Linked DNA regions of Daphnia pulex. The protein of the gene in region 2 interacts with the protein of the main gene of each other region in a pairwise test. Links are inferred from orthologs where the notes say so. Each region holds a gene or a part of one and is shown on either strand. Other genes may lie near its edges. The genes, in order: CCR4-NOT transcription complex subunit 11-like and CCR4-NOT transcription complex subunit 1-like.

Region 1 (15,458 bases), about 4.3 Mb from region 2:
CTAGATCGAGGATGCAGGTGTTCAGAACCGCACGACAAAGTAGTCTACCTTCAACTGAAAAAAACCAAATAAGCGAAAATTCTACTTTTTCCGAAAAGATTCATTTTTTTCACTTTTTTCACTTTTTTTCACTTGTTTACCTCTTACTTCCCAAAGTGACGAAAATAAATATTTTGTCGCCACTTCCCCTTTTTTTCATTTGGACTATATCGTATTGGGGCGGTTCAAGCATCTTTCTCTTTTATTTGTAGAACTGATTCCCGCGCATCAAATTTTCCCATTTTCTAGTCCTTTTTTTGAGTGTCGAACCCCTTGCAACTTTCCACCAGAATGGAAATGATCAGGCTTTATTCGTTGATTTCATCTGTAATATAATTTTTTTTTTATTATTTGTATTTTAAAAATTAAAATTTCACTAATACCGAGGATTTTTTCTGCGACTTTTGTTTTTTCTACCATTGTAGATATTTCTGTGGTTTCTATTAAGAGCTTTCTAAAGATAGAGATATTCTAAATTTTTTAAAAATAATTTTAGTTAATTTGTTGAAAATTAAATTCTAGCTAAACATACCTCGTATCTTTGGCAGAAGTTTTTTTACAATTTTTGTGAATTATAGAAATGAAATCCAAACATTTCAGATAATTTCTCGCCGGCAATGAAACAGACAATGTTTTTGATTTGTTTTTAAATGATTTATATTTCATTTCTCGTTTCATTGTATTTATCCAATAGCTTCTTCAGCATCTGTGAAAAAAATATAAAAAAAACATTATTTTAAAATGTGAGGTATTCAATAAACAAATTCAACGAAATACTAAATTAATTTTTGTGTTCACAAAAAAAGGGGGTGTACAGGTGCCTGTGTGCCTTAGTCACTTCCTCTACAAAGTACAAACTCGTTCTGGAACGTATATTGGAGTTATGTCACCATCATCATTGTTTTCGTCATTGGTGACTTTGTTTTCTATTTCTCTTTACCTTATTTAATTGGTGAATAATTTTAGATTGCAGAACTGTAGGATTTTGGCGTATGGACGATCGCCTCCTTTAGCAAATGCCCCCCCCCCCGGTGGGTGCATTTGAATAAAACGCAGTGAAAAAAATGACAGCCCCCTTTTTATAATAAAGGGCTGCTGGATTGGGATAAAAGATTCGGCTCATAAAACAAATATACAATAGAGTTGGAGAAAACTAGACCATGTCAAGTAAAAAACATTGGACGCAATCAAAACAAAAACTTGCACGTTTGAGGTTGAGGATTACAATATATATATCCAAAGAGGCTGAAAATGTTTCCGAAGACGGAAACTGAACTGGAAAAGGCTGTCTTGCAAGAATTGGAGGGAATAGCCGCGGGGAAACTGCAATGTCTACGAGAAGACATCTATACGAATTTGACTAAAAGGACGGTTGCAGCCTTGCAGATATAACAAAAGAACAAAACCCTGATAAGCCAACTTGAAAATCTGGACAAACGGACATCGGAAGTGAATTTAAATCCCCCAAAGTGGTTTAAAGATCCACAAGTCCATAATTTTGACTTAATTAATCTCCGGGAAAGGAGATTGCCAAGAAGGTTCAAACCAGGTTGACTTCGATTATATGTTCCTTCTCGTCGACGGTGGCAGTGCCACCTCCATCCAACTTTCGAAAGAGGAAACCTTACACCGACCGAACGAAGTAGATTTGTTGAAAAAACTCACTGAGGAGGAAAACCCCGAATAGGGCATTGATTTTGACCTGATCACAATGAAATTGCCCAAAAACTGAAATTGAGGAAGCGACATCACCGGTTTCAAATAGGAAAGTGCTATCAGTCCAGGATAAGTACAAAAAACTGAAAATGTGGATGGAAAAAGGTAAGAATTTGAAAACAATGCCATTATATATAGTTACTTTCTATAATCTCTAACAAATATTTATCGGTGTAAGCAGAGCGACTTAGACTACGTCAATTTGAGTACAGCACGTAATAATCCACTGAGCAAAAAGTCCCGCGTATAGTCTGGGATGAGATGAAGTTGAGGTTTCCTGGGAGAACTGAGTCCCAAATGGAGACTTATCTCTGTAGAGCCGCTATGCCTTCTACCGCTCTTGTAACCCCTTCTAGGCGCATAGTAATGCAAACCAAACCTCTTGAGCAGCCAGTGCCGCCCAATAAATCGGCATAGGACATTAAATCACAAAGTCGTTTGGGCCCTTTAAAGCAATCCGCAAGTGCTTACAGCAGCATTAAAAAGGATTGTGAAAGAACTTGCTGTGCTAATGGACGATCGCCCCCTTTAGCAAATGCCCCCCCCCCCCGGTGGGTGCATTTGAATAAAACGCAGTGAAAAAAAAATGACAGCCCCCTTTTTATAATAAAGGGTTGATGGATTGGGATAAAATATTCGGTTTATAAAACAAATATACAATAGAGTTGGAGAAAACTAGACCATGTCAAGTAAAAAAACATTGGACGCAATCAAAAGAAAAACTTGCACGTTTGAGGTTGAGGATTACAATATATATATCCAAAGAGGCTGAAAATGTTTCCGAAGACGGAAACTGAACTGGAAAAGGCTGTCTTGCAAGAATTGGAGGGAATAGCCGCGGGGAAACTGCAATGTCTACGAGAAGACATAAATATATACGAATTCGACTAAAAAGACGGTTGCAGGTAAACAAAAAAAAAACCATGATAAGCCAACTTGAAAATCTCGACAAAAGGGCCGTTCAAATACGACGTCACGGCCGTAGAGGGGGGAGGAGGGTAGGCAACATCAGACGTCCTAAGAACAAACCAAAAATATGTGCTGTCATAATGGCTTTTTTGCAGGATCCACGTTTTAAGAAAAACTAAAACCTAAACACAAAAATTCACTAAAAACACCTAAACCATTTGCACACCAACTTTTTTTCAAAACCACCAAATTGGTGTTAAAATACCAAAAAAAAGAAACCTCTTCAGCCCACACCTTTCCTTTTTATACTCTACAGACCCACTCAGACTCAACCACACATTGTTTTTACAACGACAAACGAACGTCGCCCCTTTGTTTCCTCACGTTGTTCGACAAGCAGTCGGTTCTCGTCTCGTCTCATGTGGTACATAGGCGGTCAAGCGTAATAACAATCTTAGTTAACCTATCGGCCGCTGTGGTGCACATCGGCGTAAACTGCGCACAACTTTTTGGCATGTCTAAAGTGAAGTGAATTCTTGTAAGTGTGTTGGACTTGTGCTGCCTGGTATTTTGTTTCCATTTCTTTCATCTCATCTATGGTCTAATTTTTTTCTGATTTAGAACAAAGAGGAATAATTCTTTGGAATTAAATCTCAACAGTTAAATTGATGGTTTCCAAGGATTAGATGTTCTTCCGGGTTGTTCTGGTAGTACTCTGAATATCCTTGAAAAGGAGAACTGCGAAAAGGAGGAGGATACAGTTCATACAGATGATGAATATACCGATGAAGAGGATACAGATAATCAGGACACAGATGAGGAGGTAATTGTGGTAAAGACAATCTACTGCGTGTATATTTGAATTATGTAGTGTAGTACTATGTGATTGTCTGTTAAGCAGCTCTGTAAGCTGTAACCTTCATTATTGTCATTATTTTTAGTGTGCCCTGCAGGAAGCTGTAGATGTGAGGAATAATCGCATAGCTGCTTTGGTGAATGATAAGTTTAATCATCTGAAATTGGAACTGAGTACGTTCCTTGAACAGAAACAAATGAATTGCACGGCTGTAGACAAGTCAGAGATGAGTAGCTTGTATGACTACATTGGTATGGGGGTTGTTAATGACTATCCAAAGAGGCTAAAAATGTTTCCGAAGACGGAAGCTGAACTGGAAAAGGCTGTCTTGCAAGAATTGGAGAGAATAGGAGAAAAAGCAATGTCTACGTGAACACATATATAGCTACGAATTTGACTAAAAGGACGGCTGCAGGTATAACCAAAAAACAAAACCCTGATGATAAGCCAATTTGAAAGTCTCGACAAACGGATATATTTTCAAGTGAATTGAAATCCTCCAAAGTGGTTCAAAGATTCATAAGTCTATATTTTTGACTTAATTAATTTCAAGAAGATTGCCCTGGAAGTTTTCCCAAACCAGGTTGACTTCGATTATAAGTTCCTTCGTCGACGGTGGCAGTGCCACCTCAATCCAACTTTTTATAGAGGAAACCTTACACCGAACGAAGTAGATTTGTTGAAAAAAAAAACTCACTGAGGAGGAAAACCCCGAATAGGGCATTGATTTTGACCTGATCGCCATGAAATTACCCATGAAATTGAGGAAGCGACGTCACCGTTTTTAAATAGGAAAGTACTATCAGTCCAGGATGAGTACAAAAAAAAATGAAAATTTGGATGGAAAAATGTAAGAGCTAATTTCAATTAAATATTTTTAGGAGGAAGCAGAGCGACTTAGACTATGTCAACTAAAGTAAAGCGCGTATGACCCGCTGAGCAAAAAGACCCGAGTAAATCGGCAAAGGACATAAAAATCACAAATTCGTTTCGGCCCTTTAAATCAATCCACAAGGGACGCTGCCGCACGACATCTCTCCCAGGCGACCGTCGTGGTAATGGGATGGTATAGATGTTATACCATGAAAAAGTAGTAGACATGCCAAAAAGTCGTGCGCAGTTTACGCCGATGCGCACCACAGCGGCCGATAGCAGAACTAAGATTGTTATTACGCTTGACCGCCTATGTACGCCACTTTAGACGAGACGAGAACCGACTGCTTGTCGAACAAATGATCTTGACTGTGTGTAGTACATATGTGGTCAAGCGTAATAACAATCTTAGTTCTGCTATCGGCCGCTGTGGTGCGCATCGGCGTAAACTGCGCACGATTTTTTGCTCGACTATTACTTTTTCATTGGTATAACATCTAATACTGAATGCCATTCGACATTCGTCGTCTGTTGCCATTGCATGGTTGGGGTGAAATGAGTACGAAAGGAAGGACAGTCAAGGAAGGGATGAATAGAGTGGGGAAGAAAGGGGTCGGTCCCTGGGGAGAAGAGGAAACCTGGGTCCCCTTTTTTTCGTACGCCCTCCTCCCTCCCATTCGTCCCATTCTCCCTCTCTCCTCGTTCTCGCGCTAAAAAGGAACGGCGCCATGCTGCGTTGCCAAATAAAACGGCAAAAGAAAACAGATCCGAAAGAGCCCTGTAAAAATATTCGACGTCTGTAAGAAATTAAGAATAGAGAAAATTTGATAATTTGAATTTTTCAAGTGTTGTTAAGAGAGTATATTTTTAACAAACATAGTACCGTATAATTTGCAAGATAAAAATTTAGGGTGCCAAATAATGTAGAAGTAGAACTGTAGAAAATTATTTTTCGCCGAAAACCGTCGACTTAACAACTTTACCCCTTGATCTGGCAATAATGTCCTGAAAGCGGGCTGTATGAACTGTGACAAGTGAGGAAACCGCATACGACTCCGTTGGCTGGTTTACGGGGGGTCCATATATCCGCTATATTTTTCATGTAACAGATTCCATTGTAGTGACTAAAGTGATTACAGTTAGGGTTGTCAATGCAGAGGCGACCACACCGGTCTCCCGCACTGGGTCGGTTGCCAATATCATGTCCGGGAAAGTCGCAGTTGGGGAGCCATTTGACGCCGCCTTCTCCAGTGTTCCAATTCGGAAAATCGGACTTTGCATTGACTATCAACCGACATCAAAACAAATAAAATTGATGAAACGCATAGCAAAATCACCTTTTGAGCCATTATATTGTTGTCCATCCTTCTTAACATTTTGCTGATATTTTTCTAAAAGAAAAGATTATTGATTATCATGTAATACAGTAGGATGTGGTTAGTTAGTTCCATACTTCCATTAGAATGCAAATAAGCGCAGATACTGTAGCTGGTTGAGATTTGCTTTTAAAATAGAAATACAACTGTGTTCTTCCGTGAGGATTGTTCAACCAGAACTATACTTTTTCTTTCAAAAGTTGGAGCTTTTATATACTAGATGAACTAATTTAGAAAATTGTCCGTAAAGCTGGTTTTGTAAATCAGAGTCAGTAAACAAGTGAATGCTGAAATTTTGATAAACGATCGATCCATCCGATCTCCAAATGAGTTGCTTAACATTTTTTGTAGAGGCAACTTTTTCACCGATTGCCAGCTAGATTTTCATTTGTCAACCTATAACTTTCGAAACTTACAATTTCATCATTGACCTCAATTTTCATCAGCGATCTCCTACTCACATTCACTCATTAGCTCAGGTAGTACATCCCTTTGTACTTTGTAGCTTTCATTATCTGTTTTTCATGATTTTGTGCAATCGACCACACGTTAGGGGAAAATGGCAAAATGCATAATAATGTTACAAGAAGCGATAATCTTGAAGTTGACATGATGAACTAGATTTGCACTTCGTTGGTTTTTATTGTGTCCTAATTTAACTCCCGTTATTATTCTCTGCTTAAAACTAAAATTAAAACCGAAAACCTTACCCACCCTTAACTTCTTACGACGAATTTGTACACACTCTAATTTTTTCTAGAAAGGTTCAAACGATCAAAGAGCAAACAATTCGTGAATTGTATATATCATATTCAAAACTCTTCACCCTCGATTCCCATAGCATATACTGTATCAATAAGCCTGTTGTTTCAATAGTTGAGACGCGAACATACGATGCAACATCCAACAATAATAATAACGACTTTCATTCGCCTTTGCCTTTGGCAGTTGATGCCAGAGGTGATGCCTGAGGATTGAAGGAAGATGTCGAGAGTGAGGACAGCCCAGGAAAGGATGCGATGGATGAAGTGCTGTTGAGTCCACTCTGATCACCGCTGTCGAGTTGTTTGAGGAGACGAAACAAGGCAGCAGCTTCGCGAATTCGACTGAAACCTATACAGAATGCCTGCACTTCGATAAACAGCTCCTTAAGAAGATGAAAAATTAGACATTTTGTAAAGAAACGTTACAAACTTAACACGACATGATTTGTTCTTTACTTGGACGTTGATAATCTTATTGCGAATGAGGGACTGCAAGAAGACGCACACAAGTCGGACTAAACGATTCTGCATGTAACGATCTTTGATAGTTTCGCACGTTGATATGCAGTTGGAAATGTACAGATGGACAAATTCAGTTGGCAACTCAACAGCCGTCGTTAATCGGTTGACTACTTCCATCGAATGCAGAGACATTTCCATATTAACCAGCACGCTCAGATATTCCGTTATTTGGGAAGACTGCATCAGTCGAAGTAGCACCTCGATTGCGATGAGTGGATTGTTTTCTACCAAGGCAGGTAGCTGCGTCGAAAATAAGCATTATTCAAATGCGAAAATGCAAAACCAACAATCAAAATAGCTTACTTTGTTAGGAGTGATTCCTACGTGATAGACTAGACGAGAATCGCGCTCTAATTCGCTTAGCAATCTGTTTTGTTGTAGCAAAGTCAAAGAACCGGTGAAAGCTTGCGAAATTAATCGCCGAGCTTCCGAGCCGGCACCTCTAGGTATGCAAACTGTAGTGTCGTAAGCAATCATGTGGTCGACTTCCCCAATTGGATCGATCCAGACGAGTTCGTCCGGACAAAATAGAGGAGGAGCTAACCTCACAAACTCGGGACCCACAGATTCTTGTATAGCGGCGTTGGGACCAGTAATTAGAGCTTCTGCTGTCTTCTTGATTGCACTACTATCCGGAAGTATAGGGTCAAAGCCGGGACGAACATCAGGCATTGAAAGAACAGCAGGTATTCTGCTTTTGCTTGCTAAAGTGTACTCTGAAAGGCGCTCTGTCACACTTATTTGAAGGGCTGAAATATCAGCCATTGAATTGGTAGAGTCAAAATTCAATATTTGTCGGAGAGTTTTTTTGTACATCTGCAATAGCAGTTCAATTAAGCAAATAAAATCTATGACATTTTAAAACACTTCATACTTCTTTTTGAGGATTAGTAATGAGATGAGATAAATAAATCTTTTCTGGAGGACTGAGTTTCGGTAGTAGTCTATATGAATCTGGTCTCTTGGTTTGTAGAGGTTCATCAGCCTTAAAATGATTTTTAAAATATAACTTTACTAGTGAATGTACAACAACATAATATTTACTTACAAGAAGTTGCACAAAAATTGAGGAGAATGGATGGAAATTCTGAGCATCTGGTTTGAAAAGCTCATGTAGCAATAACACTGCAGCCAGACGTTGTGATGGTGAAGGAAGCAGATCAGCATTCTGAAGTAGCATAACTAATGCATTTCCAACTATTTGATTTTCAATTGTTAGTTAACGTATTTTTTTTCTAAAATCGAGTGGTTTTTATAATACCTTTAAAGTATTCTTGTTTATTAAAGACCCCCAACTGAGAAGCCAAGGCTTCGACACTCTGGTTAGCGACATTCTCGGCATCTAAGATACTTCAAAATTAAGACATTAGATACCTAGACCATTAAAACGAATAAATATGTTATTCTTAAAGTATAATTACGTAAGCAATTGATTCAAATCCTTGACAGACAATGCCGACATTTTCTTTATTTGTTATTTAATTATTTTCATTGAATGAATGCAAGGTTGCCAAGCCAAAATGATAACACAAAGCGGGTAATTTGCCCGTTATTTACAATTTTTGCGCTTTTTTATTGGACTCCATTCATTTATGAATTTGCTCGTTTTGCTGTTAGCGTCTAAATGTATTTAATTATTTATTTTTAGTGTTTACTTATTTTGATTTTGTGGCAAGAAGAACAGCAAGCAAGCAGACGAAAACCAGGCGTGAAACAACTGAAACCAAAAAATGAAAATCTCACACACGGGGAAATCGGTCCTGCTGAAATGCCTGAGAGTTCCGACTACAGTGAAAAAACACATGCACAGGATGGTAAGAAAGCGTTTATCAGCAATAGTTCAAAATGTTCAATGTTACTGTTTGTGGTCATGTAGAGATAAGTTTATAATATCACTTGAATATCTTGTACTGTGTTCAATGAAAGACTTCCTAGTCTTCTAGTATGCTTCTAGTTCTCGTCCAATTCACCTTGTACAGAATTCGACTGGCTCCTCCCGCTCCTCCAGATATTTACATGATTTTATCGGTTTTTCAACCTACTTTTTTCTGCTTAAAATGTAATCAAAAGATTAAAATAATGACACGCACGTAGATATTTCACTAGTTAGAAGTTGCATAATTTTAGTAAGGAAATCTTTTAATATTTTTATAATAATATGTTACTTCTTGTTCTTATTTTGAAAGTCGCACTATCCTAGAGTCGAAGCGACGTTGCAATACAATGGAAATTGGTTGAAGCCATCGAAAGGAAGAAACAAACCAACAAAACCAACAGATCAATGATAATTCAATATTGACTAGTGTTCCAACTCAGGTAAATTACAAGAGATACTGAAACCAAGCTTACTGGTGAATACTAATTTATTTATCATTCTTAATTTCTTTGAAAGGAAACCAACATTGCGAAGAACGGGAGCAGGAAGAGTACAGAGAAAGGGGAACGTGATATTTATATACTTGAGAGAGTTGAGCAAACGTGTTCTGCGTCGACGCGGATGGATCCGCCCTCCGGTACCAAGAGGGAAACTGAGAGCTGCCGCTTCCCCCGCTTGAATATAGTCGTGCGCAGTTCTCTCCGAGGATCAGTCGCGTTGATCGATGCCACAACTGCTGGATACAAAAAAGGGCGAAGAAATCTCTACGAAGCACAAACGCTCCTGCCGTATAATCATTATTCTGTCCCCTCTCTACTAACCGCTCTCAGTAGCTTCCGTGTGGGAGAAAGAGAGAGAGTGACAGAGTCTAAGAAAAAATGGCGCCGGAGTTCTCGAAAGGCAAAACGCTAGTGGTTTTGGCCATTGTGATCGGCTGTTTCGCCATCCTTTGGCCAAAAATCTTCTACCCCATGTTCCAGGGTCCTGTGGCACCGACAACTATAGAGCAGCAACCTCCTATAATCAAAGAGCGTGATCCGTCAGGTATGTATCGATCTTTTTAGCCTTTGTATTATACATATATCTATTCTCTTCCACCACGTTTAATTAAGATTGATGCACTGCAATCAAAAGTCCGGAAGTAACATCGTGAAATTCAACCATAATCGACCAGGCTTGTGGAATGTTCAAATGTTGTCTAATTTCGTGAGAGGGGTCTAGCCTCATTCATCTGTCTTTGCCCTGAGCAGCCGTCAGTCGTTACATCAGTTTCCACCCCGCCAGCACACGACTCTCTCTCTCTCTTATTTATTTTTGTTTTCTCAATCTTTTGACGTCCTCTATGCTAGCAGAACCTTGACATTTTGACGACGTATAGATTTTCCAAACCAAAAATTTCCCGATGAAGCCTTACGCCCGATAATTACATGCTATGCTCTCGCAAGGGTTTCTGGACGAGTCTTTGCGAACGGTGTCATCACTCAGCAGCAGCAGCGCCGATCGATAGCTTTACAAAACAAGTAGCACAATCGAGGTCATCCTTGGCGCCGATGTTCCAGGTGCCAAAAAACGCCCAAGACACGGGATAAGCTAGCAGCTTTACATAATGTTAAAATAACAAATGTTGACCTCTTTTTTCAATTGTACATGCAGTTGATAAACATCTGCCAATATGCGATAGAAATAATTTACAAATATTCAAACGTCCAGTCATCGGCTATACCTAGATATTTGTGCGATTTGGAGAAAGTCTTCGGAGCATGGATAACAGCAGTATGGACGGATAAAGAAAGGGGGAAACCTCAAATTAGATTGTGCTCAAGAAATGTAGGAAACTTGCCAGCCACCGGATAGGCCACCACCGATCGGATTCTGAATTTTCAAAGTGTTTTCAAACTACTGAAACAAAAGGAAGGATTCTTGCAGGATCAAATAGAATATTATTAAGCTAATTTTAGAATCAATATTGATGGCTTGGACCCAACCTGTCTAGCGTTTGATCCCGTCCGTCTATACATATCGTGTGGCAAAAACAAACAAACAAACAGTTGTGTGATGGTGTCATCATCATCGAGCAGGTGCTCTATGCTGCGGTGTGGTGTTTGAGAGCGATGCCAGCTCGGCGGCCTTCCTGAACGAGTTGTGCAGCCAGGTGTTGAAGAAACGGGAAGGCATTCCGCCAGAACGGTCGCTCTCCCTCTGCCATCACGAACTGATGAACAAATGTGGGATCGACTTGGAAGATGTTGTCAAATCGGACGTGGACGGCGCCGTAGTCGATCGTCGGCTGAGCAGCAAATTCCACGGCCGTGTCCGCGCCCAGAACCTCACCAGCTGTCTGGAAATCAACTTCGGCATCGACGAGAACCTAGTCAGGGCTAAGAAGAGCTACCACAGACCTTCTGATGTTTTATATCCACGTAAGACAGGCTCCCGATTCCGTCCCACTCCGCCCCCTTATCCATCACATACCCCACAAATGACAAAATCAAACTTCATTCAAATCGTCGTTCACTCACTTTACACATTAAACCGGAAAACAAATAATTATTCGAACCAAAAATTGACTCTTCATCACTACTAACAAAAGCAAATTTTCGCAATCCTTTAACTGTTCATCCGACTAACAGACTAAACTAAATTGTAATATAGGCTTTAAAGATCCATCAAGGCTAATGCAATTGAATGGCTGATGTTTTTCGTTGCAGGACATATGCGACCGGAGCGACCCCCGCATTTGCATCCGGACATGATGCATCCGGCACTCCGCGAAAAAGGACGCGTCATACCACCCACCCGTACCATCGCGAAAGAGGCCAAGGTATTGTAAATATACATGCACACAAATTCAAAAGTGTCGTTTTGTCGGGGTTGTGTTTTTTTTTTCCCGTCTCAATGCTGGGCGCGTGTACTGGCTGTTGACCGCGATGACTCGTCGTCTCCGGAAAAGATTGTTCCGCTGTTCTTTCTTTTTTCTGTTCCACATCACCACCACTAGCAACAAAATTGGGCGTCTTGACGGTTCCCTTCGTCAACGACTGTTGACTGAGTTCCAAAAAGAAACACAGGAGAGCATTTTCAAGGTTTCCAGACTGCTGTTCTTCGAAAGCTTTAATTCCGTCCCCAGATGAAACTCTGTGCAGTTCACTCGTCGTTTAACATGAAAATCCGCCGAAGATTAGTCTTATTAAAATAGTTGCTGGGATGAATGGGCGAGTGACGAATTATTGGTGGTTTGGGTGGTAGGGACGGAATGGAAGTTCCGGCGCTTGGACCCTCGCGACAGCTGTTTATTATATATAGAACGAGTGAATAAATAGTCCTTCCCGTCGTACCGATGCATTGGGAAGTTGCGAGAGAGAAAGTCGGAGGAACGCTCGTGGCCGTCGAGAAGGCGGACGCGGGGGCTTTCGGGCTAAAATTAGTCGGCGTCTGATGGTTTCTCAGTTGTGCTGACGTCGACGTTCCCCTGTGGCCGTGAATTTTTTCTCTAGGTGGCCCTAAAAACCCATTCTAAACGGTCCAAGACGAATGTTTGACACGGCAAGTCTGTTTTGGTCGACGTTATCGATCATTACCGTGCTGCTGAATGTCGTATAGTCTGAGACAGTTTCTGTTTTGAAATTAAAGTAAGATGTTAATGAAATGTGACGCACACAAGTCTCCACTAATAACAAGGAAGAGATACATATGTTTTCCCGTCTGCAAAGAGTTCTATTTATAAAAGAAAAATACTACAAAAATAATACTTTTTTTCCCCCCCACATCCATGATAATCCTTTAATTTAATTCGGCAGCCCGGCCCTATGCCCGGAATGCGTCCACCCATGGGCGGAGCCCCTCATATCGTCTCACCTTCCTCCCCAGGATCTGGTGGTATGGGCATTTTAATGCCAATTTACACAGTTGGCATCATCGTTTTCTTCCTTTATACAATGATGAAGGTTTGAATCAAAATTTAAAAAATCAAACCAAAGGCCATAATGCATATTTTTTTTCCTTCCCTCACGACGATAGATCATGTTCAAGAAGCCAGTGACCGAGGATGAAAGCGAACCTCGCATCAAAGACTTCCACATGGATGGGGAGCACCGAAAGTTCCTCTTTTCCGAGGAGTACTGCTCCGGAGTGTCTGGCCCCGTTTCAGAGATGACTGTCAAAGAATACGCAATCCTGCAGGAGCAGCAGAGACAATTACTGCTTCAACAGCAGAGAAGGAGTCGATCGAAAACACCAGAACTCTTCGCCAGAAAAGATGGTAATATTAAAAATGTCTTAATCTACTTGATGTGACATATTTCTCAATAATTCGTACCTATTTGTAGAAGAATTAAAGACGATTCCGGAAGACGTTTGTAGAAAAACGGAGGTGGCTTCCGAAGAGAGCATTTGTAAGACAGAGCCTGCTCAAGTGGAAGAAGAGTCTGAGATGGAAGAAGTCGTAGAGGAGGTCATAATCCCACGCAGCCCCAAAATGGATACCGCCGGAAAACCTATTGGTAGGCTTTAAAAAAAAAAAGAAATAATCAAATAATTCCAGCAACAACAAAAAGAAAGATTAGTGTACAGTACATATCGCATGAAGGCCTGAATTTTAATACGCATCGAGCTTGCTGCATGTTCACACACCAACTTAGGTCAATGGTACCTGCCTCCTGGATTTGATGGCACCGGTCCCGCTGGAAGCGAATCCGCCGACGAGAACGAGACGGGTTCCGACATCGACCTCAACGACGCCGACGAACGTTCACTACGCCTGGCTTTTGCCGCACTCAAAGCCCAGAGTAATACGAGCGCTACTTTAACATAACTAACCGCATAAATTAGCCAACAGCATATATCAGCTGTGAAATGTTGAACGTTTCCTGTTATCAGAAGAAATAACCGCTGTCCTGCAAGCATGGGACCTCAATTGCCAAAAAGGGTGAGTTAGGAAAATGATAGTAATCCGTTTATTTTTGGCGATTAACAGAAGAAGAAGAGGTGGACCAACTGCGTCGTCGGCTGGAAGAGACTGAACGGGCGATGGAGCGTATCTGCCGGCAGATGGGTGACGTCACCGATAAACTCTCCACATCCGCCGTAGCCGATTTGCTCACCCCGCAACTGTCGTCTGATAAGGTTGGCATAAGAGATTGATCGAATTGTTGACTAATTTTCAGGAACGATGACTTTCAGGCTTCAAAGGTAGCCGACTCCACTCTAATATAATACGCAGAATTAAACCTATACTATTTCCGTACGATAACACATTTATTGTCATGCGTTATGGGATAGACTAATGAAGAACTTGCGGATGAAACCAGTCAAGAATGCAAACCTTGCCAACCGGAAGAAGCTGTTGAGGAGTTGAAGTCGGAGTGTGCCCAGCAGGAAGAAGAGCCAAAGGAGTTACCAGTCATTATCTCAGTCGTTCAGAGTTCAGAGGAGAAGCAGGATCCGGTTGAAGAAGTTTTTACCGAAACGTCGGCAGCTGAAAGTGAATCTTTCCTTCGTTCTTTTGTACGAAGATTGCCATCCGAGAGGCAGCCAAGCGAGATATTCGAGGAGGAAGCTGTGATAGAAGAAAGTTTACCTGCAACAACTTCTGAAGTAGAATCTCCCGTTGCGATTGAGGAAACAGCGATCGAGGAGAAGCTGACATCTGAAATTGAATTCGCCCAGGAAAAACCTTGCACACAAGAGGAAGAAGTTACCAAGTCTGAAATCGAATCGGAACCGGCGCCGGAAATTGAAAGTGTACAAGAACAATCTGCCGTTCAAGAAGAAGAAATAAGCGAGCCTTGTACCGAAGAGCTACTGAAATCGGAACCTGTTCAAGAACTTGTTAAATCACAAGATGGAGAAAGCAGCTTGCAAGAAAATGTCAAATTGGAACCCGAGGTTGAATCTGTTGAAGAAGCCGTGCAAGAGGAAGAATGTCAATTGCCAGTCGAGGAAACTGTTCAAGAAAAAGTTTCAGCCGAAGTCGAGTCTGCGCCGGAGAAATCAGTAACGCAAGAGGAAGAATCAAGCCAACTAGAAGAATCGGAACCTGTATATGAGCCGATCAGTTCAAAAGAGGAAGAAAGCAGGGAAACAGTGGAGGAAATAACAGAAACTCCAGCTGTTCAAGAACCGGTAAACGAAGAGGAGTGTCGGTACAAAGTTGAAGAAACGGTTGAAGAGGTACCAAAATCACAGGTCGAATCTGTTTCGGAACCGGCCAAAGAGGAAGAAAGCGTGTCCAAGATTGAAGAAACAGCCGGGGAGGAGCAATCTACGCGAGAAGGTGAATGCATTCAGGAAGAATCAACCAGTACAGACGAAACCATCTTTGAATCATCTGAAACTGTTCAAGTACAAGAAGAAGAAATTCAGTCCCCAGTTGAGGAAGCAGTCCAAGAAGAAACAGCAAATGAAGTTCAGTCTTCAGTTGTCCAAGACGAAGAAATTAGCGAACCTTGTGTAGAAGAATCATTTGCATCTGAGTTGGAACCTGTCCAAGAACTTGGCAGGCCAGAAGAAACCATCTTGGAATCACCGGA
Region 2 (15,976 bases):
CAGATAATAGACAGATTGACCCTACGGTTCATCAAGTACTCATTTTGAAGTGTACGTACAGCTAACTCAGCTTCGTCAGGTGTAAGAAAAGCGACACGAGCATCGCCAGTAGGTTCACCGTTGGGTCCAAATCGCCGAATAACACATTTTTCATTGACTTGAAAGCCACGGAAGAAATCCAATATGTCAGCAATAATGGCTTTGTGAGGTACATTGGAGAGCGCGATGACACAGCCAGGGGCTCCGAAACCAGGAGTTGGGGATCCATCGTCACTTCCGCCTCGACCACCACCTCCATTCTGAATTGGACCTCCGGGCATTCTTATTCGCATATTAATATTAGGACGAGTGCGAGGACCAGGCCCACCGCTGCCAGAAAAATTTCCTCGGTTGCTTCCACCAGGAGGGTAACGAGGACCGCCCCCGAATCGAGGACCACCGAAACGTGGGCCCATTTGCGGATTGTATCCATTTCCTCCGTCAGCGCCCATCGGCGGCCTGTTGTACGGATCACTAGGTCCCGGATGTCCATATCCTCTTGGTCCGTGATCTGACTGGTTCATATTTGTATCAAGATATGGACTGAAACGTCTTATCTTATTCTCTTCGGCGGCAGGATGTCTGCTAACAACAGGAGCGGCATCTGGATTCTCGACTAAAGTTACGCTGACAGTATGGCCTCCCATGAAACCGCCATTCTTATCCAAGGCTCTCTCTGCCTCCTGCATACTGGCAAATTGGCAATAAGCGTTTCCGACGGGCATACGTTCTTCATCGTAGACGATTTCAATGATCTGCGGAATGACGCCAACGTCTGAGAAGAAATCGCCAATATCGCGTTCCAGGGCAGATGGAGGCAAACCCGTAATGAAGACACGTTGTGGACCGACAAAAAGACGACCTCGCTGATTCGGTGGCGCATCGTAAGAACCATTGCCGCCGCTTTGGGAACGATCAACGAAAGGGGGACCTGGTCTGTTGCTTGCAGGAGGACGATGAGGAGCAGATTGACCAGGTGAAAGTGGACTGTCAGTTTGAGTTGGAGGGGTGGTCATCACAGCGCCGACAACGCCACGGAAGCGTTCAAGATTTTTGGAGCAGACATGTAATTCCTCCAAGGGAAGAAAGGCCACCTTGACTTGACGGCCGCAGATCATGACACCGTCTTTCAGGAGTTGGATGGCTTTGCGAGCATCGGCTTCACTCCGGAGTTCAACAAAGCAAAGTCCGGTGACGGTTCCGCTCTCGTTCCGCTCTGGCAGCACCTGACCAATCGAGATCGTACCAAAAGCTTCTTTGACATTTTGTGCTGTCGCAACCGGTGGGAAGTCTCTCAATGAAAGACAAGAATTCGATAAACTCTTGGCATCAAGACTAATTCCAGGTGAGAAAGAATCAATCGCCTGGTTAAATGTCGAATCCTTAACATTGAATATTTGAACAGGATAGCCACGAATCGTACCTAAAACAAAAAAAAAAAAAAAAAAATACACAACAAATTAATTCCATTTTAATTCACGAATAAAATTGACTTAAGTTTTCTTTACCATTGTGGCGGGTAAGCGCTTTTAATTTGTCTTCATTGGAAGTGAATCGAATATACGCCAGACCGAATCGATAGCCATCCAATGCGTTGATCATTTTGATGCATGTGTTTGGGACATTAATTCCACTAAGATAATCTCTAATGTCTCGGTAAGTCAAGTCTCCAGTCAGCAAACGTAACTGAACAGAAGTATCCGGCACATTTTCATTTTGTTGATTGGCTTCCAGTTCCTCGGCCGGAGTAGGAAGAAGTCCTGATTTGCTGAGTTTCCGATCACGGTCACGATCCCGTGAGTTTCTAGCCCTCTCGCGACTATCCGAGCGACTTCGACGGCGGCGATCTCGGCCACGACCGCGACTTCCGCTACGACTGCGACTCCTCCTTCCACGTCTACTCATGTCTGAACCTCTTTCTTTGTCGCGATCTTGTCTGTCTCTTCGACTGCGCTCTTTACTTCTGTAACCAGCACGACCCATATCGCGATTCCTATCCTGGACGTCTGGGGGAGTGTCACGAGAATTGCGGCGATTCTGGTCAAAACGTTGCGGCCCTCCGTGAGCATACACATCTTGCATGTCCCCACCGGTTCCATGCAACATTTGCTGGCCACCGCCATACGGTAATAAGGGAGGCTCCTCAATAACTTCTCTCATACGCGGACCGAAATGCTGTGGAATATGAGGTCCTCCTTGCGGCAAGTGGGGAGCGTAAGTCTGTGAAGGGTTCATGTGAGGCGGGAAACCACCGGCATGAACAGGATTTTGCCCACCACCTGCCAACATGTTTTGACTTGGGTTATATGGTTGATGACTTTGTGGTTGTGGATACATTTGATGATCATAGCCCCCTGGATGGCCCTGACTAGGATCCATGTGCATATGGAAATTGCTGCCACTGGTGCTGGATGTTGCTCGTAGTCCAGGTGGTCCGCTGATAGGGGGATTGCTATGGGCGGCAGGAGCGGCACTAGGAGCAAAGGGGCCTCCTGTAAAAGGGCGCTGAACTGCTGACGTAGGAGCCATGTTGCTTCCTCCGCTAGCAGCGCCTTGCATAGCCAAGTGCTGCTGTCGTGTCTCTTCAATGATCTTTTGCATTTCCGTTCGAGAACTCAAGTACAGCTTGACTCGCGAGTCCTTCAACATACCACCGTCCGATGCCATTCCTTGTCGCGCATCCTCGTCAGTACTAAATTTAAATTGAAAGATAGACATTAATGTTTCGTTTTCAGAAAAAACAACAACACTGGTAACGCATGTGCGATCAATATTTTGAAAGCGTCGTGTTGCTTCACCGTTATACTTTATCAATGTTGGTTATTAAGATATTGGGGTCGTTGAATTGTTACCTGAATGCGATAAACGCGTCGCCTAGTTGCCCCCCGACTATATGCACGCCCCCTTCTGGTATGGATAGACCATGGAAGAATTGTCGAATATCTGCAGCGTTGGCCGACCAAGGCAAGTTCTGTAGTCGAATAATGACACTCATCTTCACTCTTGATTTCTTCTTCTTTTTCTTCGACGGTCACTTCTGAATTTAACGCCGACTCAGTTGCATGCGGCCTATTTCGTAATCAGCTATAACTGGTGCGATGCCTCTGTGTTGCCCTTTATTCGAATGGAGTGGAAGGTAAAATGATCAGTAATCACCCAGTGATAACAACATATCTCAAGATTATAACATCAAAATAAATCAATCCACTTCTTTCGACGAAATCCATTTCCAACAAAAACAAACAATGTTAGTGCGTCACGTGTGTTGTTTGTATCGAGTGCCATGATGGATTATCGCATTGACTTTCTCACCGGGACAAACGTTTCTTAAAAAAACCCTCAAAACCTCAAAATTTTTCAAAATATGGACATGGCTTGATTCAGACGCCTCTTTCCAACCCAGTTAAGCCGTGACGTCAAATGTGTCGCACACCTTCAGACTTACATCAATCGCTAATCAAGTTACATTTTGATTTCGTTTTTTTTTCTTTACTCAGAAGAACCCGCCTCACAAACAGCCTATTTGTTTTCGACGCAACTGCGATTCTTTATTCCTTCCCGGCCAAGCAAACTTTAGAAACTTGCGACGTCTCCAATGGTAGAAAAAAAAAAGAAAATTAAGGCTTTGGCTTTTTTTCAGCCAGGCAAGAAACCTAGCACACACTCTGGATTTTAATGATGCAAAATAGGAAAAAAAAAAAAAAAATCCAACAGTTCATTGGAGGAAAAAGCTGTAGATTACTGAACTTTCTAGAGAATCTCTGGTACTTTGAAAACAGGTCGACCCCATGAGCAAATAAATAAAAGTTAACACTGAAATTATCTTTGCTATATAAAAGAAAACGCTACTGCTTTGTCGAAAGCTCCCACTTCGAAAATGGTTTGTACACTGCAGCTCGCATTTCTTTTCTTTAACCTCAACAAAATCCTCTGAAAATTGAAGGGTAACCCAACATACACAACATACAATATAGGAAAAACTGCATGAGGGGGTTCCAGAGTAGGTTCCTTTGAACAGGTTCAGATTTAAAAAATGAAGCATGATGTCATGTCATGGGATTTTAAGAACTGAGATTCCAGCACCACACATCATGTTTCAAAGAAACTATACAGCTTGTGGAAACTGAGATTGAATGGACAAAGGGCAGCTTCATGCATTGAATAATCAAGAATGAAGATGACGAAGTATTAACACTAACTTTAAAAATGCATTAATTCTAAGTTGGTACTGTGTTCCGTTGACACTTGCACAACATTTCACTTCTTGAATCACATCCTATTTGTCTGTTTATCGCAGACTACAAAAGCATCACCACAGCATTTTTCTCCTTCGATGTTTTGATTCTGCAGAATTCCAACCCATGCCTTTAGAAGAATTTCATGATTAAGTTCTTCTTCGACAATAGCCTCTTTCAAAATACACACATGGCTGCAGTGACATGTTTTGAGCATTGTCAAATGTTCCAATCAGTCTATGTTCCAATGAAGAACACATGTAGCCAATAACACCCCTGTTTGTAGCAACTAATCGAATAAAAAAAAAACCGTTTTCGAACTTAGTATGAGCCTCGTCGCAAAAGAAATGGAAGTGACCTGTTTTGTTTGTGGTAGTAATTTAACCTTACCAAAATTCAGTCTAATTTTCCTGAAATCCTTGCGAATTTAGAGTTTAAAATAACCCTTCTTGAACGCAAAAAATTAGAATTGTTGCTGTTGTAAACAGCCCTGACGATGGTTTTCTTGAAGACAGTAGAGCCCTAGTAGTTAATAAATTTTTTCAGTTGGAACGGCGGGAGATTTTGGAGGGCTGCGATGAAGGAAGCCAAGCTTTAATATGGCGCAGTTTAGTTTTCTTTTTTGTTCACAATAAGTCAGGCTTGGTGTTTGTACTCGTAAACTTTTTGGTGACCACACTGGAAAACCTTTCCGGACGCCATCTATACATTACATTAAAATTTTTAAAAAGCGCTAGCTATTAAAATGAAAAATCACTGTAAATATATTATGGAATGTATTAATGTTTTCATATTTTAAATTTTATTATTGAAATATAAAAATTTCAGAAAATAAGACGTCGGTCGCAAAGAATGAGTGTATAAAGTGTACTACTGCCAGCGCATGAGTTACATTGACATTGAGTCATCCCTTCATTTTGCATAGTAGATATAATTTCTGACGGAAAAATTTATGTAAAATATATTCAAAACAAATAATGAGCCTAACAAATTCTGTATTTTATACTTACTTTATTTTTGTCAACCTTTTTTGAGTTTTTCCGAAAGAAAGCTAAAAATTCTCTTCTCTACCGCTAGAGGCGTTGACGAAATAGGCTGAATTTGTTCGGCTTCATCTTCATTCCAAATTTCTTGTGGCCAGCTGATTTTTTTGTTCAGGTTCAGGTTGATCGTGCAGCCATATTGGTTTGAATTTGTTTGATTATTTCGTTTGAACATTTCAAGCTGAAATTTATAAATCATTTTAAGAAAAAAAGTAAAAATCACTGGTATGTTGTATTTTAATTAAATCCGAATTTCCCCATTTCAATCGGCCAATGTTAACTTGTCCAATCGCAATGACCTCTTGAACAATTTCTTTGTTTAGGCAAGAAGCCAAAGCTTGATCGTGCGGTAAACAATGGCCATTTACCAAATAATAGACAAAGTTTTTAGTTTAAGTTTTTAATGTTATTGTCAATTCCTGTTATTATTTTTATGATACTCTTGATGTCAAAATATTTCAACATGTATCTTTAGTCAATCAATGAGTTTCTTCCAACATTTTTTTCTTTTCAGGTTTCGACAGTTGCTGACCTAAAGTGTTTCGTGAGTGGTTGCTAATGTCAGTGTCGGCCACAGAGGGAAGCTTCAAAGGCCATTTTCCTGGGCTTTGAAGCTTTCACCTGCCAGCCCTCTGTCTTTCATGGAACTATGAGCCTAGACTCACTGTCACTGGCGCTGACACAGATCCAATACCTGGTCAACAGCCTCAACAAAAAGAACTATCTTCAATCTAGAAATAGGTTAGAAAATTCAATTTTATTGAAAAACATCATGTTAATTTTGATATTTATTAAAGCATTGAAGAATTAGTTACCATTTATGGTATTGAAGCTGAAAGACATCTTCTTTGTTGCTGTCTTGCTGGAGTTGACTTTGTGGGGTTAGGAAACGGTGAAAGTTCATCATCTGTCAAGTCAAATAACCCAGGCAAGGAGAAGGAAAGAGAGCAGCTTCTGGCTGATTTTTTTGGACATTGCATCACCCAGCCAGCATTCCCTAGTCTTCTGAATAGTGCCCTTGAACAGCCATTGAGAAGCAACTTTACTAGAAGTGTTCAACAACAATTCAAAAGCAATTCGGCAGTTATCAGCAATTTCTGTCGGTTTTTGCGACTGTCACGAAGCCAAGAGGTGGTTCTTAGGATTGCTCTTTTAGAAACATTCAACCCTGAAGCGCGTTCACAGTCTATACTAATTATTCGCCAGAAACTTAGTGAACTATTGAAAAATTTTGCTGATCAAGATAGGAATACTGCCCCGTTGGAAGGAGGACTACAGGTAAAGCGTAAGCAAGTTTAATGTGTTCGTGTATAATTTCTAATGTATTTGTATAGGAATCGTCTCCTGAAGTCATTCACTACATTCTTAGTCGATTGATCAACGAGCCGGATACATTTGGAATAAGCAAAGACCTTTTAGAGGACGTATTGAGCTGCTTGCGCCGTGACTATCCTCGTGAATTGGTCCCTGTGATTTTAGCCCCAATCCTTTACAAGGAGCAAGGGGTAGACTACACTTGTCATAAGATGGCACACGAAACTAACAGTTTGACCAAGAATATGGTCGAAACATCATTGGCCGATTTGATCCTTGAAACTGGATACCCATTCACATCAAGTCTCGAAGAATGCCGTGCAAATATCACGACCTTCGGTTTTCGCGAATTGTCTCCCACATCGGTAGCTCGTGCAATAATCTACATGGTTCGCACGCACAGCGGATTGGACGAACATTCATTAAGACACTTGAGAAATGGTACATCACAATCATGGCCTGAGCAAGAAAGCTCAGGAGATAAAAGCGACGAAGGCCTTCCTACCTCATGGAACATGGAAATATTTGTCCAGGTAGTGGAAATGTTTGTTACTTCTTTATTTTGTATGTTCTTATCCAAAATTGCTCATTTTCAGGTTGTTACGGAGCTGGTGCCAAGTTTAAACTGGAAAGAAATTGTTTCAGAATTGGACCACCCTAGTTTCCTCATAAGAGATAGAGCAGGATTGCGCCTTCTCCTGACGGCCCTACAATTGGGCCTGCAAACACAGGGCGCAACTTTCCCAGCCGAGTTGCTGTATCAATCATGGAACAACGCTGAAGCTCAGCTATCGCTGCTTTCGCAATTAATGAGGAATACGGATCTCTTTTGCATTGCCGACTATCCACACCACGCCATTAATGTCGAAATTCTGAAATCACCCCCTGAACCTGATAACAAGAAGCTTGCCAGTTGGAAATGCCTGGGATTGCTTGAAACTCTTCTCAACTTATTGGAAAACGGCGGGCTTTACAGCCAGGTGCAAGAATTGCTTAAGGAGCCTGTTCAACACTGTCCCGATGTTTTAGTCCTTGGGCTTCTTCAGCTGACACAACCAATGACTAAACTCAGACAAGAATTGCTCAGCAGTCTTATTCCTGTTTTTTTGGGCAATCATCCAAACTCTGCCATCATTCTACACCATGTCTGGCATGCACAGTCACCTCTGGTCAAACCTCTGGTTATGCACGCTATGGCTGAGTGGTACATGAGAGCTGAACACGATCAAGCGCGGTTATCAAGAATTCTCGATGTAGCCCAGGACCTAAAGGCTCTATCTATGCTACTAAATGTGCAGCGCTTCCCTTTTGTCATCGATCTCTCGTGTCTAGCATCGCGCCGTGAATATCTCAAACTCGACAAATGGCTGACAGACAAAATGCGTGAACATGGGGAAACCTTCGTTGCAGCATGCGTTAACTTTCTACACCAGAGATGTCCTCAAATCTCCGGGAAAGTTAAAGAAGAAGCTGGTCTAAAGCCCACTCAACTTCCCTCGGACACACTAGCAATCATGTTGTCCTGCCTGCAGGTATGTTTCTTTGTTGTAAATCAGATTTTTTAAATTGATCAAACTAAAATTCTATTTGCATCTTCATAAGGTTTGGACTGGAAATGTGTCTCAAGAACTATCTGATACTATAAATACAATGGTTGCGAATTGCAACGTCCTGAATCGTGCCCGAGCGCAACCCCCACCTGGCGTCTTGAAACCTATCCGTCCTGGCAGTGGAGTTGGAGTTGACGTTTCATTTCCACCAGGAACCTTAAGCAGCCAACTATTTCCGCCTCCTGGAGTTGACTCAACTGGTCTTTCGCCCAGCCTTAGTAGCATGGGCTTAGGTCCACCAACTTCATCTGGATTTGCTGTTAATATTGGGTCCAATACACTCGGAGGAAATACTCCAGCCCCCGGATCGCCTGGAAAATTGTTCTCTAGCATGTCTTTGCTAGAAACTGGTAATGAATTACACCATTCGAAATCGACTCATCCAATTCTTATAACTAATATTTATTTACTTGTTTTGCTTTTCAGGAGTCAATCAGCCAACGGTTGTGGGGATGCCAAACAATTCCAACTCGAGTCAGAACCAAAGTACTTTCTCCATTTTTTCTTCATTAACTGGAACTGGAGCAATGCCTGGATCATCCAGTACAAATCCACTGGGCATAGGTATTCCATCTTCTATGGCGAGTGGAAGCGGGAACGGTCAATCAAGTATGGGTACGAGCAATATTGGATCTGGTACGGCTGGTTCTCCTGGATCGATTGTCAATGGCCCTGTTCGAGTAGGAATGAATCCTCACCTAGGCCAAGAACGAAGAACCGGCGATGTATCTAGTGCTTTTGCTGACATGCCACAAGCTGTTTCAAAAGTAAGCTAATATTTTTTTTATTTTTATTTTCCCCACACCTAATGGACGCATTCGTGTTTGTGTAACAAAGGATATCGAAGACGAGACAAATAGTTATTTCCAGCGGATTTACAACCAATCGCCTTCAACGCCTACCTTGACAGTCGATGAAGTTCTTGAACTTTTGAAGAAGTTTCAACATTCGACTAACCGCCGTGAACGGGAGATATTTGACTGCATGTTGAGGAATCTATTCGAAGAGTATCGTTTCTTCCCTCAGTATCCAGATCGCGAGCTGCACATAACGGCTCAGTTGTTTGGTGGAATCATGGAGCATGGTCTCGTCACCTACATGGCTCTGGGAGTGGCACTACGTTACGTACTTGAAGCTGTCCGGAAACCACACGGGACGAAGATGTACTATTTTGGGATCACTGCCTTAGATCGGTTCAGACATAGATTGAAGGAATATCCGCAATATTGTCAACATTTGGCCAGCATTCCGCATTTTCGGGAGTTCCCGCCGCATCTAATCGAGTATATCGATAATGGCTCCCGTGGCGTCGAGCCACCCAATCGTCCTCATGGTCCAGTCTTACCTCAAGTGACGACAGCTGCCAAAACCACTACTCCGACTACGCCAACTACAACGGTTGCTGGTAAAACGACCTCTACTGCTGCACCTATGAGTGGTCGACCGTCAATAGCAAACGCGACCAACATCGACACATTGCTGGTTGCTTCGGAGAAAGACGTCTTAATTGTAGACCCACCAGAGAGCGTCCAAGACAAAGTCAGCTTCATATTTAATAATCTGAGTCAATTAAACCTGACGCAAAAGTGCGAAGAATTGCGTGACATTGTGGGTGAAGAACATTGGTCTTGGGTAGCCCAGTATCTGGTGATGAAAAGAGCTTCAATTGAACCAAATTTTCACACACTCTATTCAAACTTCCTTGACACACTGAAGCTATCCGAGCTCAGTCGACTTGTCATTGGTGAGACGTTCCGCAATATCAAGGTACTCCTTCGTAGTGACAAGGGAATAGCAAATTTCTCAGATCGCACACTGTTGAAAAATCTTGGTCATTGGCTTGGACTTTTGATGCTATCTAAAAACCGGCCGATTCTACAGGTAATTCATTATTTTATTTTTAAATTGTGTACCAATTTTGCTAAACTGCAACTTCATTTAATATTCAGGGAGATATTGATTTAAAATCAATTCTAGTCGAAGCGTATCACAAAGGGCAACAAGAACTTCTGTACGTCGTACCATTCGTGGCGAAAGTCTTAGAGTCATGTGCTAAGAGCAAAGTGTTCAAACCACCCAATCCATGGACCCTAGGAATCATGAATGTTTTGGCAGAACTACATCAGGAGCCTGACTTGAAACTTAATCTTAAATTTGAAGTCGAAGTTCTTTGCAAAACTCTAGCCATTGATATTCACGATCTTAAGCCGGGAGTAGTCTTCAAGGATCACAATCGTCTGTCACGTTTGGAACCGCAGTTGTCCCAGCCGCAATTACAGCAAATGTATCAACCAGCACCACAATTGCAAATCATTCAGCAGCAGCAGCAGCAACTTCAACAGCAGCAGCAGCAACAACAACAACAACAGCAGCAGCAGCAGCAACAACAACAACAACAGCAGCAACAACAACAACAACAGCAGCAGCAGCAGCCACCACCACCGCCACAACTTGCTGGCTCACCTGCACAACAAATGCAATCCCAGCCTGGCACAACTACTCCAACACCAGCCCACGCAATTCAAGGCCCTCCTGATCCGAGGTTTTCTTATTTGGACATCAATGTCACTTCGTTGGCCGGACTAGCTCAGCATCTAGTAGTTAATAATAACATACCGCTGTTGACGGCGCATCCGAATTTAAGGATCCTTATCCGACCAGCTGTTGAACGAGCTGTTCAAGAGTGTATTCATCCAGTTGTTGATTGGTCTATGAAAATAGCCTTGACCACTTGTGAGCAAATCATAAAGAAAGACTTTTCACTCGACGCGGATGACACCCGCATGCGCGCTGCTGCTCATCACATGGTTCGCAGTCTCAGTGCAGGTATGTCTCGTTTAAATTTGTTGATGTATATAGAATTTATATTAAAATTGTGTATATTTAGGCACGGCATTGATTCGCTGCCGAGATCATTTGCTATTGACGATTGCAAACAATCTCAAGACAGCATTTTCTGCTGCCTTGCAGAGGAGCACCAGCCCTCAACAGAAGGAGTTGGTTGAACAAGCAGCCACTTTGACCGCTCAAGATAACGTTGAACCAGCGTGTGCGTTTATCCAAAAGACAGCCGTAGAGAAATCCATTTCGGAAATCGATAAACGCCTTGCCACGGAGTTCGATTTACGCAAGCACGCTCGAAACGAAGGCAGGAGATACTACGACCCCGCTGTTTTCGCCTATCAGGTACACACGTCTCTTATTTTACGTCTGGCAAACTAAACGTTACAAAAATATATCTTTTATTATTCAGGCCGATCGAATGCCGGAACCCATTCGTTTGAAAATGAGTGGCGTTACACCCCAACAAGCTGCCGTATATGAGGAGTTTGCCCGATACATCCCTGGATTCTTACCTGTCACCGAACGAGATGCAGCCATGCTTGTGCCTAAGATGATCCCCACGTTTACCAACGATGAAATTGGGGTCATTTTGGAAAAAGTCGCCATGGAATTGGAGCGTTTCTTGCAATCACTGTTGCCATTGGGCAGCTCAACGCAAGCAGTTGCGATTGGCTCTCTATTGGAAGCTGTCATTTTGGCTCGTTCTTCACGTGAACACGGAGCACATATTACTTTACTTCAAAAAGCTTTCGAAGGACTGGTGGAGAGCTTAACCAGTTTCGCTACGACCGGAAATGATCCGGAAGCCGTCGTCCGTTTCCGCGACGCACATTTGCTGGTTTTGAAAGCCTTGCAAGATCCCCAGGCTTATGGTCAGTAAATCTAAATGATTATTTTTAATGATTATTATTTGATTGATGTTGTTTATGTTATATTTTTTAAACCCATTTTTCCTGTTTTTAGGACCTCAATGGACTAATCGTCAGGTGACGCGATGCTGGGCCGAATGTCGAGAAGAGTTTCGATACAATCTCGATATTCTTGACTGCCTTGTGCGAGCTCATCTCATAAACTTGCAGCAATTTGACATGCAACTAGCTTCTGTGTTAGAGCAAGCCCTTAATGCTGGCATTGGATCTTCTATATTAGCACTTGGCTTTGCTATGCAATTGGTGCATGTCTATCTTCTCGAGGGACCCGCGTCTGGCGCTCCCGTGGTCATCACTGAAAACGACTTGGCGAACACCATTGAAATTTTGACACGTATCGCTGCTCACGCTAGGTATTTTTTAACCGTGTGCATTTTCTATTCGATCGATTGAGATTTTATGTTATTTTTCTGTCATAGGCAACCCCCTGATGGTCTAGCAACTATTTTGGAATTGCTTCGAGCTGGCCATGAAACCGGTTTAATGGATCGTGCCACTGGCGGTCCAGGCGGACCAACGGCTTTAATTCATTCTGGAATTGCTCAGGCACGCGATTATGACGATCCCCATGGATTGCCCGAAAAGACCGAATACCTTCTGCAAGAGTGGGTAGCTATGTATCATCTACCTAACGCTGGACGGGATTCGTCTAAAGCTTTCGGTCACTTCGTCACCCAAATGAGTCTACATGGAGTGTTGAAAACCGATGATTTGATCACACGCTTTTTCCGACTGTGCACTCAATTTTGCGTTGATATCTCCTATCGAGCATTGGCTTCCGAACCGACTGCCGACCTGATCCGCAGTAAAGCGTTTCACACTCTGGATGCTTATGTCCGATTAATTGCTTTACTCATTAAGCATTCTGGTGACGCAAACAACGGCGTTACAAAAGTAAATCTCCTCAACAAAGTACGTAAATGATTTGTCTTTCGACTTTCAACTACTAATGGCCGAATTGTCAAACTGCTTAGGTTTTAGGAATCGTTGCAGGAGTTCTGCTACAAGATCAAGAAGTTCGCGGTGCGGAATTCCAGCAATTGGCTTATCATCGTATCCTCATAATGTTGTTTCTTGAGTTAAATGCGCCCGAACAAGTACTTGATTCCATCAATTTCCAAGTAAATCTTTAAATTATATAATAGTCACTTGAATTATTTGCTAATTTTTTGTTTCTTTGTTGACAAAGGTTTTGACAGCTTTCTGTCATACACTGCACATTCTGAGACCAGCGAAGGCCCCAGGCTTTGCGTATGCCTGGCTAGAAATTGTTTCGCATAGGGTTTTCATCGGGCGATTGCTGTCGATTACTCCCCAACAGAAAGGATGGGGGATGTATGCTCAACTGTTGATCGACTTATTCAAGTTTTTGGCCCCATTTCTACGGAACGCCGAACTGAGCAAGCCCGTCTCAATGTTGTACAAAGGAACACTGCGCGTCCTGCTGGTTTTGTTGCATGACTTTCCCGAATTCCTTTGCGACTATCATTATGGATTCTGTGATGTGATTCCTCCCAATTGCATTCAAATGAGAAATTTGATTTTGTCGGCGTTCCCACGCAATATGCGTCTGCCTGATCCATTCACGCCCAATCTCAAAGTGGACATGTTACCGGAAATCAGTCACGCTCCACGTGTACTGACTCATTTCGCAGCAATGATCCAACCGCCTACGCTCAAAAAGGATTTGGACTCGTACCTGAAAACCCGCGGACCAGTTACGTTTCTTTCGGAGTTACGAAGTGTGGTTCAGGTTCACGTTTCTTCGATTAATCTTCACGTAAGAAATAATTTTTCTGTTAGCAATACTATTCTTTTTACTAACGTCGCTGACAACACTTGATTTAGGTTTCACCTGAACCTGGAATGCACTATAATTTGCCCTTGCTGAACGCATTGGTCTTGTACGTTGGCACCCAGGCCATACAATCGATACAGACCAAAGGATTATCTCCGTCAATGGCGACTATTGGCCACTCTTCTTACATGGATATCTTCCAGAGTTTAGCCGTCAACCTTGACACGGAAGGGCGTTACTTGTTCATCAACGCCATTGCTAATCAATTGCGCTATCCTAATAGCCACACGCACTACTTCAGCTGCGTTCTGCTTTGCCTTTTCGCAGAAGCAAATTCTGAGGCGATTCAAGAACAAATCACTAGGTACGTGACTGGGTCTTGTGTTTCAATATACAACCATTTTGTGATTGACGTGAAATAATTTTTCTCTTTTATCTTGACTCCTAAATAGGGTCCTGCTGGAGAGGCTCATTGTCAATCGACCGCACCCATGGGGATTACTCATTACATTCATTGAATTGATAAAGAACCCTGTTTTCAAATTTTGGAATCACGAATTCGTCCACTGCGCCCCGGAAATCGAAAAACTATTTGAATCGGTGGCTCGATCATGCATGGTGGTCCAAAAACAAACTCCTCGGGATGCAGAAAACCACGATTGATTAATTGAGTTCACCGACTACTTATGTACAGTTTGTGCGTGTGCTCATCTTCTCAACCAATGTTTGTTTGGATTTTTCCTACACCCTTTGGCGGTGCGTGGTGAATTGTGTCAGAACATGTCCATTTAGTTTTTTTGAACGAATGTATTATTCTTTTCTCTTTATTTGAACCCCCAGTTTTCGCTCATTTTCTCCTTCTTTCTTTGGTATCGAGTTCATCTTTCTCGCTTTCCCCCCTCGGGTCTGCATTCACTGTGGGTTTTCCATGTAGTAATGTTCACTTTTAATAATACACACGAAGCAAATGGACGTATTCAAGACTTGAACAGAGTTTCGTGTATTATCGAAGGGAAAATCCGGCCTGTGCTTCTACATATTGTCGCAATGTACAAAGTATATATAGTACAAAACAAAATTTGAATTGGAAATTGGGAAAAGACGGCTTCTAACATTGGAATTTCCGAAGGTATATTTATATTGTTAGGGTGATTTAAAGGTATGACATCTTTTAATTTTTAACAGCACGGTAACTATACATGGTCAAATGGTCTTAACTGTACGAGTGTAAGAAGGACTATAGAGACAAATCAAAGTTGACAGACTTGCGTTGATTTGGCGTAGCACAGTCCAAATTATGAACCTCCTTACAGGTGACACTGTAGATCGGCATTATCTTGTTCTACATACGGTGGTGGTGGTTCGTCTGGATATTGTTCTTCAATCCCTGGTGTATTGGCAAGCTCAGTGTCTTTTGTTGGAGGTGGAAATTCCCAAGCCGTAATCTAAATCAATAGAACTAACGTTAAGTACTAAGCCTTGATGGATAAATTTTTAACTTTTACCGGTCTTCCACCTGTTGGCAAGTTGTCACCACCCACTACAAAGATAGACGACAATCGCGGGCGGATTCCTGCAGTTTCTCTATTTGGCCGACTGCACGCCAGGGTCGACAAAACAAAGCTTGTGGTCGCTCCGATTACTTATAAGTTACACGTTAGTTAATGAATTAGCACAAATGAATAATGTGAAATTATGATTTTAAACTAACCTCCGGAAACCAGTAGCAACAGATGTAGCGTACGTCCTAATTGAATATCGTAACCTACACGTTGATACGTTGATTTTTATAAGTATTAAAGCGCACTCGAAAGAATAAGTGATCATATTTTTCCAACTACCGCAGTATCCGTGTCTAATATTTTCGCAAGAAGGGCCGTTTTCAATAGGTCCATAACACGAATTGGAAGTGTTCGCCGTCGAGGAAGTCAGTTGAACAAATGGCGTAGTAGTTTGAAATTCGCTGGCTGTCGTCATCGTTGATGTAGTCTTTGTATTATTAAATGTAGGTAGACCGTTGATGTAATCATCTTCGCAGTTGTATTCCCAAAAATCTTCACAACAAAGAGCAGCTTGGGATCCCAACCAACTCAATGAAGCCAGAGTCAATGCCATGAATAGGGACACAAGGCAAAAGCACAGCATGGTCACCGTACTAATACCA

What was found.
Region 1: the proteins of CCR4-NOT transcription complex subunit 1-like (region 2) and CCR4-NOT transcription complex subunit 11-like interact in binary tests that used the Homo sapiens proteins (3 or more experiments, as listed by UniProt). The link is inferred for Daphnia pulex from reciprocal best matches to the Homo sapiens genes CNOT1 and CNOT11.

Annotation. Positions count from the first base shown.
Region 1 is NC_060019.1:7,965,390-7,980,847, forward strand, and holds CCR4-NOT transcription complex subunit 11-like, read right to left. Parts: upstream 8,586-15,458; 5' UTR 8,518-8,585; coding exon 8,477-8,517; intron 8,406-8,476; coding exon 8,317-8,405; intron 8,253-8,316; coding exon 8,104-8,252; intron 8,041-8,103; coding exon 7,930-8,040; intron 7,872-7,929; coding exon 7,359-7,871; intron 7,296-7,358; coding exon 6,990-7,295; intron 6,917-6,989; coding exon 6,695-6,916; 3' UTR 6,554-6,694; downstream 1-6,553. Other genes in the region: titin-like, read left to right, coding at 9,810-9,975, 11,010-11,351, 11,640-11,752, 12,729-12,875, 12,949-13,189, 13,257-13,430, 13,569-13,715, 13,904-14,052 and 1 more. UniProt on the Homo sapiens protein: Component of the CCR4-NOT complex which is one of the major cellular mRNA deadenylases and is linked to various cellular processes including bulk mRNA degradation, miRNA-mediated repression, translational repression during translational initiation and general transcription regulation.
Region 2 is NC_060019.1:12,271,988-12,287,963, forward strand, and holds CCR4-NOT transcription complex subunit 1-like, read left to right. Parts: upstream 1-5,381; 5' UTR 5,382-5,542; intron 5,543-5,831; 5' UTR 5,832-5,966; coding exon 5,967-6,058; intron 6,059-6,114; coding exon 6,115-6,595; intron 6,596-6,651; coding exon 6,652-7,164; intron 7,165-7,227; coding exon 7,228-8,163; intron 8,164-8,233; coding exon 8,234-8,591; intron 8,592-8,667; coding exon 8,668-9,008; intron 9,009-9,078; coding exon 9,079-10,122; intron 10,123-10,190; coding exon 10,191-11,067; intron 11,068-11,128; coding exon 11,129-11,427; intron 11,428-11,494; coding exon 11,495-11,957; intron 11,958-12,048; coding exon 12,049-12,367; intron 12,368-12,433; coding exon 12,434-12,926; intron 12,927-12,988; coding exon 12,989-13,135; intron 13,136-13,203; coding exon 13,204-13,794; intron 13,795-13,862; coding exon 13,863-14,176; intron 14,177-14,264; coding exon 14,265-14,475; 3' UTR 14,476-14,784; downstream 14,785-15,976. Other genes in the region: RNA-binding protein 12-like, read right to left, coding at 1-1,462, 1,548-2,731, 2,892-3,034; uncharacterized protein LOC124191153, read right to left, coding at 15,120-15,257, 15,318-15,454, 15,524-15,577, 15,654-15,967.